3 linked regions of the Nothobranchius furzeri genome follow. The protein of the gene in region 1 interacts with the protein of each later gene in a biochemical or structural test. Links are inferred from orthologs where the notes say so. Each region holds a gene or a part of one and is shown on either strand. Other genes may lie near its edges.

What was found.
Region 2: of the proteins of pink1 (region 1) and prkn, one has a biochemical effect on the other in vitro, tested with the Homo sapiens proteins (12 studies listed by BioGRID, with this or other methods). The link is inferred for Nothobranchius furzeri from reciprocal best matches to the Homo sapiens genes PINK1 and PRKN.
Region 3: the proteins of pink1 (region 1) and bag2 form a complex in vitro, tested with the Homo sapiens proteins (2 studies listed by BioGRID). The link is inferred for Nothobranchius furzeri from reciprocal best matches to the Homo sapiens genes PINK1 and BAG2.

Annotation. Positions count from the first base shown.
Region 1 is NC_091755.1:38,775,264-38,779,661, reverse strand, and holds the end of pink1 (serine/threonine-protein kinase PINK1, mitochondrial), read left to right. Parts: intron 1-774; coding exon 775-1,005; intron 1,006-1,106; coding exon 1,107-1,391; 3' UTR 1,392-3,545; downstream 3,546-4,398. UniProt on the Homo sapiens protein: Serine/threonine-protein kinase which acts as a sensor of mitochondrial damage and protects against mitochondrial dysfunction during cellular stress.
Region 2 is NC_091752.1:62,536,392-62,540,682, forward strand, and holds the end of prkn (E3 ubiquitin-protein ligase parkin), read left to right. Parts: intron 1-3; coding exon 4-65; intron 66-383; coding exon 384-617; intron 618-2,470; coding exon 2,471-2,588; intron 2,589-2,664; coding exon 2,665-2,768; 3' UTR 2,769-3,297; downstream 3,298-4,291. UniProt on the Homo sapiens protein: Functions within a multiprotein E3 ubiquitin ligase complex, catalyzing the covalent attachment of ubiquitin moieties onto substrate proteins. Substrates include SYT11 and VDAC1.
Region 3 is NC_091752.1:19,643,592-19,648,229, forward strand, and holds the start of bag2 (BAG family molecular chaperone regulator 2), read right to left. Parts: upstream 3,069-4,638; 5' UTR 2,815-3,068; coding exon 2,690-2,814; intron 2,506-2,689; coding exon 2,396-2,505; intron 801-2,395; coding exon 406-800; 3' UTR 1-405. UniProt on the Homo sapiens protein: Co-chaperone for HSP70 and HSC70 chaperone proteins. Acts as a nucleotide-exchange factor (NEF) promoting the release of ADP from the HSP70 and HSC70 proteins thereby triggering client/substrate protein release.

The sequences.
Region 1 (4,398 bases):
AAGTCTCAAATAAAAATTTGGGCATCTTACTGTAAAAAAATATACCATTAATGTAAAAAATAAACTATGATCACACCCAGAATCGAACCCAGGTCTTCGGCACGAGAGTCCGACGTCTTACTAGGTGAGCTAAAATGCCAATGACATCCTTTGTATCTGTAACTTTTATATCCTTGATGACAGCTGAAACAACGTTCAAAGAACGGTTCGGAGCGAAAATGGCTATTTTGTTGCTAATTTGCAGGAAATATCTAGAAGGAAGTAGCTAAGGGTGCTCAGAAATGTAGCTAGCTTTGTCACTAGGCGTTAGGAACAGCGACAAAGTGGCACTGCCTCTCTCTCTGCTGCTAAAGCTACGGATAGCAAATGCTACGGGCGATGCCTGAGCGTGAACACGCATGAAGCAGCCTGCTCGACCCGAGCATCTCTCTTTTTCTGTGATTTTACAGAAAAACAGGCAATCACAGTAAAAATGCCAGGGCTCATTCTACAGGACCAGGGCATTGCAGGAGAAAGTATGAAGAAGACATTTATTATTTCTATACATGTTATGGCTGTCACACTTCCATAATGCCCCTTTAAAAACATAAAACACCTTCAGCGACACTTCCAGCCTGGCCGACTCCAGGTGTACCTGCAGGCGTCTAACGAACAAATCAGACCCGCCGAACCGTGTGGACCACCTTGAACACAACACCAAACACTCCGGCTGTTCCTGGATTTCTCTGAGGCGGTGTGTCTTTACCTGCTGTGATGGGTTATTTGTCTCATCAGGTGGTCACCGCAGTCCCAGGAAGCGGTGTGGTGATTGACTACAGCAAGGCGGACGCCTGGGCCGTTGGGGCGATCTCCTATGAGATACTTGGAGAGCAGAACCCGTTCTATCAGGCTGGGGGACTGCGTAGCACCGACTACCAGGAGAAACAGCTTCCTCTGTTTCCTTCCAGAAGTCCAGCTGATGTGCAGTTGGTGATACAATTACTTCTCAGGAGAAACCCAGAGCGGGTAAAGCAGGATAGGTCCAGTTATAAACTGATCTCTTACACTTGGAAGCGTTTGTTTTTAATTGATGATTAGCTCTGTTTGCCTCTGTTCTTCCTCCTCAGCGGCCCAGTGCACGTGTAGCGGCTAACATGCTACATCTCAGCCTCTGGGGTCGGAAGGTTTTGGCCAGTCAGGACAGTGCTGGCACGAAGAAACTCGTTGACTGGTTGCTGTGCCAGTCTGCGGTGGTTCTCCTGAAGGGCTGTGCTGGACCCAGTGGGAATGGGGTGGAGGCGGAGCTTCAGAGAAGCTTTCTGTCCAATCTGGACCTGGTGGAGCTGCGCACCGCAATGGGCTTCCTCCTCTATGGTTGGGAGCAGCGCCGCGGCTGCTCTCTGTCAGCGTAGATCCGGTCCAAACCGTAACTCGGACCCTCAAAAAGAAACGCTGGTAGTTAAACTATGGGTGGATACCTGCTGTGTTTTTGTTGTGCTTGATTTAACATTTAGCTGCTGTATGAATGAGCAGTAGCTTAACGCTCATGCGAAAGGCCGGATTTCAGCGTCAGCTAGCTCGAAAACCTTTTATAGCACACAGAAATTTTACACGTTTACTGAAAATGACAGCTCCAGGTCTTCCTGGATTTTTTTGTATGGGATCAAATTTATTATTGAAAGTCAGAGAACGGGGTTCTGGATTTGTTCAGCCTGGTTTCACGTGAGTGAGTGAGTGAGGGAGTGAGTGAGTGAGTGAGTGAGTGAGTGAGTGAGTGAGTGAGGGAGGGAGGGAGGGAGCGAGCGAGCGAGCGGACTGCTCCCTCTCCATCATAGTTTGTATCCTCACAATGACTGTTTTCCAGCCAGATGGAGCAACATCTCACGCTAACTGGAACACAACATCATGCAGAAGGTGTGGGTGTATGCGTGAGTGATGACCCATGTGAGAAAGTCTGTGAAGGTCTAACAGAAGACGTCACCAAGGAGGAACTTTATACAAAGGACAGCTGGGAGGGAATGATTTTAGAGATCCAGAGTTCTACTGGGTCTAAATGTGCGAGAGCCGTCTGCAGGGACACCCAAGTCCAACTGGCCACTTGTTCAAGGGAAATCTGGTCAGAGGAAGTCTGGAACAAACCTTTAGAGGCTAAATTTAATCCCACACAAAGATGAGTAACATCTGTATTCAAAAGTACAAAAAACATAAATTTATATCAAAGGCTTTTGGAAGTAACTGATGTTCCAAAACGGGTCAATTCTTCCCTTTTGCTTTAGTTTTTGAATAAAAATTTCAGTACCTAATCTTTAAAAATCTAATTTATCACTGAGATGTTTGTTAATTTAAAAAAAAAAACTAAAAATTCTGTAATGAGAGTAGAAATGGCTGCTGGTGGTTAAGAGTAGATCCTGTCTCCTGAAAGCTCTCATGCACATTTGTAGACACAGGTCTGTCACAGTGTGGAAGTGACCAATGCAGATATTTAAAATTAAAACCATGTTACACTTGTGAGGATCTACTGGGTAGGGTGAGGTCAGCTACCTGCAGGTGCAACATCTGAAACCCTCTCCAAAGAGCTGGTTTTAGGAGGTTTCTGCGTAACGTGTGTTCGGCATGCTTAACAAAGATGAAGTCATGGTAAAACATCCATAGATCATTAGTACCATGCACAGGGGCGGATCTATAAGGGTGGCATAGGGTGGCAGTTGCCACCCTAAAAGAAAGCCTTGCTACCGCTGCTGCCACCCCAGCTGGTAGCTATAAATTCAAGAAAAATCAACGTTTTTCAACTGTCTGGCTCATAAAGACCTATTTGCAGTCTCCTTTGACAGAGAAAAGACTATGAAGCTAGGCTGTACTCAGCATTGAATCAAAACGGGCAAAATCTTTGGACCTTGATGAATGTGTAAATTGTTTTGCTGAGCAACATGGAAACTGCCGCATTCAGCTGTTGTAGGAAGGACATAATTTTATTATGTGTTTTATTTTCATGATGGGCCTTTAAGCTTATTAAATGAGGACCCAAAACAAATGAATATGCAAATCCTGGGAAAATAAAAAGGAAAACGTCTCTCTCTCTCTCTCTCTCTCTCTCTCTCTCTCTCTCTCTCTCTCTCTCTCTCTCTCTCTCTCTCTCTCTCTCTCTCTATCTCTATCTCTATCTATCTATCTATCTATCTATCTATCTATCTATGTGTGTGTGTATATATATATGAATGGCCACCCTAGAAAAATGTTTGCCCCTCTTCTGCCACCCCATAAATAATTTTGTAGATCCGCCCCTGACCATGCATAATAATGCACTCCGTTTTCCTGTTTGCATTTTTCTAGAATTGTATTCAAGAATAGTTGGTGTTTTAAATGTGTTATAAATGAAAAGCAACCATTTCACCGTCGCTAGAAAGACAGATTCATTTACTGCACTATATGGTTATTTTCAGCTGTACGTCAGTAGTTTGGGATGCAAATCCATGTTGTAATTATAGTTTGGTACATTGAAGATTGTTGGAAATATTTTTGGACATGTAGAAAGGTTGAATTTCAGAATAAAATCATTTCAAACGCAATTATCTCCAATTATGGTTAATGTTTGATTTCAGTGCACCCTTCAGCTTTTTGTTACCTTTGCAATGAATTTGACTGAATTTTGAGTTTTGGTTGGTGATGATGTTTTTGTTGGTTTGTGTGTCAAAATATCTTATGGAGGACTGGATGGATTTTAATGCAACAGTCAGAAATCAATTATTGCTGATTGGCATTTCAAATGAAGCCAATTCAAGATGGCCACCACAGCTGCATAATATTAGAAAACACAAAAATGACTAACCCAATCATTTTGATAGTAGCTGAGTCATTCAGTGTGAGGTCACACTATGAATACGTGTCATAAGTAGTGCAAGGTCGTCAATCTTTCAGTGCCTGGGCAGATTTTCTATTGAGTCTTTGCTGGTATTTAGTTTAAAATGAAGCAGTTTCTTTAAAACAGCTAACATTACACTCTTAAAGTGACAACGTGTATTTTCCCTGGCGATAAGTGGCAATACATACCTAAGTCATCACAAGCAAGCTGTAGTTTTGTGTTTGAGTAAGACCTTATCAACAGATGGCCATTAGGGTCAAAAATCTCTGTGAGTGCAGCCTCCAGCAAAATAAGCACATCAGACTCCCTTTCATCACTGGCAGTGAGTGATGAGGTAATGTGTAAAGCAATAACATTTATGAATGGTAAAAGTTTTGTAACTGTTCGTTACAAATCATTAAATGTATATTGTCCTCTACGGGCTCCCGTAGAAGGAAACACAGCATCTAATATGGTGTCACCCAGAGACTTAGGCCTAGTCCACACGTAGCCGGGTTTTTTAAACGAATATCCGCCCCTCCAAAAACTTGCATCCACACCACCTCGTTTAAAAAAAAAAC
Region 2 (4,291 bases), on another chromosome or scaffold:
CAGCTGGCTGTGAGGACTCTCTGGTAAAAGAGTTGCATCATTTCAGGATTCTGGGAGATGAACAGGTGACGTACCGTCACACAGGATGTGGGTGCTTGGTTCAGACACTGTGTAGCATGATGTGTCCATGTAAACTACACACTTAGAAGGAATGGGTTTTATATAGCACTTCTTTCTGAAAGAGCCCCATAGTACTTCACAACAGCAATCGTACAGACACCACAGAGAACGGCAACCATAAAATACATATAAACAAAGGCCTATAAAGCATCAAGCAAAGCACCACAGAATTAAAAATCATTAAAAGCCTTCCATGAAGTCAGTAGAGACGCATTCATGCTGTGAGCAGCAGGTTTGAACACTCACCTGTGTGCTTGTTTCAGTATGGGCGGTACCAGCAATATGGGGCGGAAGAGTGTCTGCTGACCCTTGGAGGCCTGTTATGTCCCTCACCTGGCTGCGGGGCGGGACTTCTACCACCCAACGGCATCAGGAGGGTGGAGTGTGACAGACAGCTAGGCTGTGGCTTCATCTTCTGCAGGGACTGCAGAGGACCATATCATGAGGGGGCATGTCAGGTGATGCCAGCTCCACCCACCTCACGTGACTCTTCACAGGTAAGTCACAGGAGGATGAAGGTGAGGATGATGTTGGTGATAGATGATGATGATAATGGTGAGGATGAAGGTGATGATAATGGTGAGGATGATGATGATGATAATGGTGATGATGGTGATGATGGTGAGGATGATGATGATGATGATAATGGTGATGATGATGATGGTGATGATGATAATGGTGATGATGATAATGGTGATGATGATGATGATGATGGTGATGATGATAATGGTGATGATGATGATGATGATGATGATAATGGTGATGGTGAGGATGAAGGTGATAATAATGGTGATGATGATATTGATAATGATGATGATGATGATAATGCTGATGATAATGGTCAGGATGAAGGTGATTATAATGGTGATGATGATGATGACAATGGTGATGATGACAATGGTGATGATGATGATGATGTTGATAATGATGATGATGATGATGATGTTGATAATGATGATGATGATGATAATGGTGATGATAATGATGATGATGATGATGTTGATAATGATGATGATGATGATGTTGATAATGATGATGATGATGATAATGGTGATGATAATGATGATGATGATGATGTTGATAATGATAATGCTGATGATAATGGTCAGGATGATGGTGATGATAATGGTGATGATGATGATGATGATGATAATAATGGTGATGATGATGATGATGATAATGGTGATGATGATGATGATGAGGATGAGGATGAAGATGAAAATAATGGTGATGATGATGATGATGATAATGGTGATGATGATGATGATGATGATAATGGTGATGATGATGATGATAATGGTGATGGTGATGATGATAATGGTGGTGATGATGATGATGATGACGATGATGATGATGATAATGGTGAGGATGAAGGTGATGATAATGGTGACAATGATGATAACAGTGATGATGATGATGATGACGATAATGATGATGATAATGGTGAGGATGAAGGTGATATTAATGGTGATGGTGATGATGATGATGATGATGATGATAATGGTGAGGATGAAGGTGATAATAATGGTGATGACGATGATGATGATTGATTGAGGTTCCTTACTTTGTTCTCTGAGATTAATCTAATGCCGTTCAGGTCAGGTGATTGACTAAGCAATTACCTTTTCTGAATTTCAGGTCCAAAGATGAGAACTTCAGTCTTGTCTTGATTTAAAAGCAGAAAGTTTTGCGCAATCCAATTTTTGATGTCTTCTAGACAAGCCTGTATCCTAACTAACCGATGAGGTTCATCAGTGTTAATGGATAGATATAACTGAGTATCGTCAGCTTAACGGTGGAAGTTTATCCCATGCTGCCTAATGATTTTACCAATTGGAAGCATATATATATATTATATATATATATATATATATATATATATATATATATATATATATATATATATATATATATATATAGTAAAAAGAAATGGTCCAAGCACTGAACCCTGTGGTACTCCACAAGTAACCCTGGAGTATAACTGAGTATCGTCAGCTTAACGGTGGAAGTTTATCCCATGCTGCCTAATGATTTTACCAATTGGAAGCATATATATATATATATATATATATATATATATATATATATATATATATATATATATATAGTAAAAAGAAATGGTCCAAGCACTGAACCCTGTGGTACTCCACAAGTAACCCTGGAGTATGAAGAAGATTTGTCATGTACATTTACAAAATGAAATCTGTCAGACAGGTAGGATTTAAACCAGCCTAGCGCTGTTCCTTTGATCCCTACAACATGTTCAAGCCTTTCTAAAAGAACATTGTGATCAACTGTGTCAAAGGCAGCATGATGATAAAATAATTAACCTGTTACCCTTCCTGCAAAGGGTTTTGTTGTTGCAGAGGAGGCATCTCAACAGGGGAGGTGGGACCGGGCATCTCTGCTCCTCATCCAAGAGTCAACCAAACGCTGCCCTCGCTGCTCGGTTCCTGTGGAGAGAAACGGTAGCCATTACGTTCAAGTCACTCACTACTAATACACATGTAGGTGACTGAAGTGTTGTGCTGTTGCCCCATGCAGGTGGCTGCATGCACATGCAGTGCTCCCTCTGCAGAGCTGAGTGGTGCTGGCTGTGTGGCGTTCCCTGGAACCGAGAGTGTATGGGGAACCACTGGTTTGGATAACGGCACACTTTCACAAGACTAAAGCATCTGGTTCATAATTGATCACATTTGTGACCAGGTCTTCCTGTCCCCTCAGACATCCATGTGTTAATTGACCACCCCAGACCAGGATGTCAGTCAGAGTTTTCTACTATCCATGACAAGTGTTATTACTGTAGCTGACTAGAGATAGTGCATGGACAATATCAAGCCCTACCCCACCCCAGAGAGATGCTCTGTAGTTGGTCTGATTGTCCATAGTACGCTAAGACAACCCTGTGGGTCCGAGCCATGTGATCAGCCAACCTCCTACGTTTAAAATCTGAGGTTGTGATAAATGGCAACACCGTACTCTGCTATTCCTAGAGGACTGCCGACATCCTGCTGTGGGTTTCTCTGCTCACAATAATTTAAATAAAGCTGTATCTGTTTTTTGGAACAAGTCATGTTAACAATGAGTTACTAATGAGATAATGTGTTACTAGTATGTTACCAGTGACTTAAAGGTTGAATATAGAACAATAAAAAGCTATATTGTTTTTAAATAAAACCTCCATGGGGTATTTAGAGGTGTCCAGAATGAAGCTAAAGCGCCTCATTAAAAAGCTAGATTTTAATTTTAAAATAATCAAATATTGTTTTGACGGGCGCAACACTGGGTAATGTTCATATCTACCAACCAGTAGAGGGCACCAATGCGGGTTGCCAAACAGTCTGCGAGGCTGGCTCTGTGGAAAATGGCGGACTCTGTGAGTCAAGCAGCTACTTCTGAGCCCAGGAGATGTCATTATTCTTCTCAGAAGAGGAGCGACCATGAAAGATCTAAAACCAGAGTGAGTTTGGGTGAAACCTACAACAAATGGACGGACCCATATAAAAAAATTCACGTATCAGCAGCAAACCTGGCGTCCTGATGACTGGAAGACTTGTTCTATTGCTGCAGCTACAACCTCCACACACTAGATGTCGCTTTGATGTTCCGGTTCCATACTCAACCATTAATGATGAGATTATAATGAGTTAACAATGAGTTGATAATTTAATGGGTTCATAGAATGTTAACAATGGTAAATGACCTGTAATTGTTTAGGGCCTCTGCCAAGGTACTTTAAAGGTGTGGTTGACTGAAAAAACATTTTTAATGATTATTTCTGATTCTAACGGGTCACTCTGGGTTTTTCATGCAGGCTGAACATTAAAACAGTCTTCTACATCTATCTGCTGCATTAGCTTCTGATAGAAAATAGACAGTGAAATGCTAGGACTTGAAAATCCTCAGATCTATGTCACACTGTGAATTTGCATTCATGGCCCTGCCCATTCTGGCTCGGACCCGCCCACAGGAAGGCTTTTTTACATTTTGTTTTGCAGCGAGGAGAGCGCAAAGTGTGCGTTGTTGATAGTGACTTTGCAACATGGCTGAACTCGTTCTTTTAGCCAATCAGAAGCAAGGTGTGTGCACATCATGAGTTTTAATATGTAATCCTGCTGTTTTCAGCCCAACTTCTGCAACTCAGAATAGGAGCATCATAGCTTTTTTTTTA
Region 3 (4,638 bases), on another chromosome or scaffold:
CCGTACATTGTAGATGAGGGTTTAAAAAAGGAAAGTGCTGCACCATTCCTGGCTTCAGATAAACCGGCCTGGACAACAAGTCAGAATCAGTCGTGTGTTTTGATCTTGTTCAAACCTTGTGTCAGGTTTAAGTAAATTGGTGAACGTTCACAGTAAACGCTGTTGACCGTGCAACCAAACAAAATCAGCATAATGGGCGATCATTGAAATCTGTGCATGCTTCAAAAAGATGGACAAAAAGGTGTGCTACCTAAAGGTGAAAGGTTAAAATTCGGTATGGCATTTTCCCATAAGACCTCTCCTTGCTGCTTCAAGCAGAGTCCATCTGAAATTAATTAAATGTGTAAAAGCTAACTATAGCTTTCTGTGAGGTTAGTGGAATTCAAGACACCTCGGCAAAGGGTCTCAGTGACCCCCGTTAGCTTTTGTGCCCTCCAGTTTTTGGTGATCCATTATCTTGATGTTCTTTTCGGCATTTTCAACGTTCCTCAGCAGAGTCTCCAGCCTTCGCTTTATCTTCTTCTGGTCCTCCAGAGCGCAGCTGATCACCACGGTCTGAAACTTCTGGTCAATAGGGACGAGCGGTGCCTCCGTGACGCAGGCAGCGTGCAGGGCCAGCAGCTGCTGACGGCCACCTTCCATGTCGCTCAGCAGCTTTTTCACAATCTCGTCTATCATAGACGTGGCCTTGAGTAGTGCATCCTCCTGTTGGGGGTTTCTGATTGTGCCAACAGAGATCTCCACAGACAACGTTCGGCCCATCAGACGGTTCGCAGTCAAAGATAACTCTTCCCTCTCACCTAGAAGACATGTAAACATATTACTAAATCTTTATAGGAAAGAAACTGCTTTTAATGCGGCTGTAACAGCACATCAATAGTCATTTCATATTTCTAAAAGTTTATTTCAATGAGTACAAGCTCTGATTTGTCTGAGATCCCACCCCACACCATAATACTGCCCCCACTGAAACCTGTTAAGCAATATTCATGATGTTCTCCATGATTCTGCCAACTTGTCAATAATAACAAGCTGACACCAAAATACCACTGATATTAATTGGAAGAAATGAATGCAATAACATTTCCAAACATATTTTTTATTGGGATGGACGATGTTTCTCTGGAGCATTTTTTGCCATATTGCTTGTTATGGTCATCACATCGTACAGCAACCAATAAAGTAAATGCTTTGTCGAAAAACTAATAATTTTCATTTCCTCTGAAACATGCAATCCCGTTCTTAATGACTGAATCATGATCCATCCATCAAACTCCCCTCTGACAGTCCCTCCGCTGTATGCGCATACCCGTATTTGTGGATGTATTGCGCATTCTTGGCTTAGAGTAGTTGAACAGGAAGCAAAGTCGGAGCCGGACTGCCTAGTGTTTAACGGACAGAATGTTCGGTTATGTTTGCAAATTTTATTCAAAGATTAGGTTATAACTCATCTTTTCTTGTCATCTAGAATCTTCTGGTGCTGATCTGTAACAGGCCCTTTTGCGCCATGAGAATCTATCGTGGCTGCAGGAACTGAAGTAGGGATAATCCCAACCCACCTCCCCACCTAGTGGACACTTATATTGTGTAATGCCTGAAGTCTGTTGCATCTCTGTCGGAGGTGGGTGTTTTTTTTTTTTTTGCATAGCAAAGCTGCCTTCCCAGTGGAGGGTAACTCTGAAGTGCCTTTTTTTCCCTCCACCTGAACCAATCCTCATGTAACCCTCTGATCTCAATTAGCACGACTCAGGGTTGCGAATGACCACAGTCACCAATTCTTGTCATATGTCTTGCCCATGTATGTCTGATCTCTGAATTGTGTGTACTGAAACTCTAATTTCCCTCTGGGATTAATAAAGTATCTTTGATTTGATTTTGATTGACACTCACGGCAGTGACTTTTGCTTACAAATGTGGTCTGCAGTAACCAAATTTGACCACAGGATGTCAGTCTTACATAATGCACCTTTACATAAAGCCCTTCTTTCAAATCCCTGACCAGTTGAGAGGAGTTTCTAGGTGAACCATGGAGCTCGTGTGAATCATACTAACTTACATTAATGAGGTTTAATGGAGCATAAACCAACATGACTAGACGGTCTACCCTGGTCAGACTCTGGATTTAAATAATGAGCTTTAAGGGTTAGGCCTTTTTGTCTGTTTACAGCGGAACCAAATCAATAAACCAGATGTAGGCTATTGACTCACACGATCCAGAGGTGAAACATGAGCCTGGTTCACACAAACTGGGTCTGGGTGAGATCAGAGGAGATGGGATTCTGGTAGAAATACATTAACCGTACTAGTTCCCCTTTATAACCGCGTATCTTCCCTGGCATTAAGCCGTGCGTGACTTTTGCGCTTATGTAAGTTAAGAGAGAGTTAGCAGCTTCACCAGCACAGATGTTCCTCATTTCTTGACTGTTCTGTATGGACTGAATCATTTCCAGGATGCACTCCCTTTCCTGCTCCATGGCAGATGCTGCTTCTCGTAAAGCCTCCACTCTGACACAGAAAGAGAGACAGCATATGAAATAACACGCTGCAAACCAGTTATGTTTGTTATGAAAAACATTTATTGTCACATTGCCCTGTTTACAGTGTTTATAAAAGGTTTATGCCAATAAATGTTAGCGGCCGGGGCAAATAGCGGCTCCGTAGCACACATGGTACAACAAGGGCCTGTTACCTCGTTTCCAGCTGATCCAAACTTTCCAGGAGTCGCCCCGAGCGGTCTGCCATAGAAAGCGTCCTGCTGAACTTGCTGCAGAGGGCAGCTTCGTTCATTTTCGCTTGTATTTTCGCTTGAGCCATAATGAAGACGAAGATGATGGCTACAGTGCTTTCCCTCGGTGAGCGCAAAATCCAGTGTGTGTCCCTCCGAGCCGTCCAGCTGGGTGTAAATCCTCGGACTGAGGCAGGCAGCAGCAGCGCCCCATGGGGGGAACATTTCCTAACATGGACTTCCTTCACTCCGGCAGAAAGTTCCCGAGGAGACCAGAGCTGGAGCTCCCAATCGTAAGGAGCGTGGACCAGCAGAGGTCCGTGAGCAAGCTCCTCCAGGTCCACGGAAATAAAAGACCTATAATGTTCCAACTCACTTTGCAGTTTTAAGTAATGTGTCTTGATTTATTTGGGCATAATTTTTATTAGGCAGATTGGTAAAGTAATCAAGTTATTCTGATAAACTTATCCAGGCCTATATATATATATATAATTCATTTTCACTCCAGACTACAGATGAAAGCCTGTGGTGGTCTGCAACCCGCAACTCTGGAGCCACAGTGGACCTTCCAGAATGGCTTTTACTTTATAATAATCATAGATATAATAGAAAAAGTGAGATTTAAGCAGCCTTTTGTTATGGATTAATTGAACTGAATTCCCACAACGCAGTGACACCTGTCATCTAGAGGTGAAAACTGCATTACACCCCTAGGCCTCTCAGTTTCCATGATTATGGCCTTTTTATGAACAGTCATGTTGTGCTGTTTATCATGTATATTTTAAAGACTTACTTGTCCATAAGAAATGTTACCAACTCTGCATCAGTCTGGGCTCGTCTTCCCTCTGATCACCTCTCCGTCCAATCTTCTTTTCGAGCTCCCCATGTGTATGTCGTTTGATGGCTTCCGGGGGAGCTGATTACCCTTTTGGGGGAGCCGTGATTTCAACCTCCCCCAAAAATCGCCAAGAAAATTTCAAAAAGATGTATTGCCTTGGTTATCACAGTACAGGCTTTTATGGATTAAAAGAAAATCATAAATAATTCTTGGAAGGGGGGAAACTCCAGGTTGCTGCTTTAAAGTACCCATGAGATTTTTACATCTATTTTTTAAAAATAATTTCCCTAAATATAAATATCTGGTACAAAAAATACATTCATACACTTTTGGCAAAAGTTTTCTTCCTAAACTCAAAATCTAATAGGAACAAAATGGTGTAAATATTTATGAGACGTCTAACCTTAACCTCAGAATTCTGATTATTTTTCCCTCAGAAAAGAGAAAAAGAACTTCTTCTTCAGTGGCCCTAATCCTTTTATGTAAATAGTTCAACAATTATAAAGATCTTGTTTCAAAAGGTCCTGTAACAGTTACCCATGGTCCAGAGAAGCTGTGGTGGACGTCCCTTAAGGTGGCCACCCTAATGCGTCATTCCCTGTTTTGGGGACATTTATAGAAATGATTAACAAGAATTATTTTGGGGAAAACTACATCCACACAAACAAGGTGATCCCAAACCGACACAAGCAGATTTCACAAGCTCTTGAAAAAAATTCCATCTGTTCATTAGAAGTTACCTGTTAAACTGTAAATCAGCACAAGTGCATAAAGGCTCCATCTGAAAACTTCACCAATATCTGAATGAAGTGTAAATCAAATTTAATTTACACACACACAACTACCTTTTATGTGTTAAAAGTTACAAGACATCAACACATTTATCTGAACAGCAATAAGACAGAAATTCTTCTTGTCGGAACCAAATGTATGATTACTAAATCAGTTTTTCCCTCTTTTCCATTCGACAATAGCATCCCATCTCCTTCATCACAGGTTAAGTCTGGGTGTCAATTTGGATACAACTTTGTCTTTCTCTGCTCACATCAACGCTCACATCAATGTGGTTTGTTTA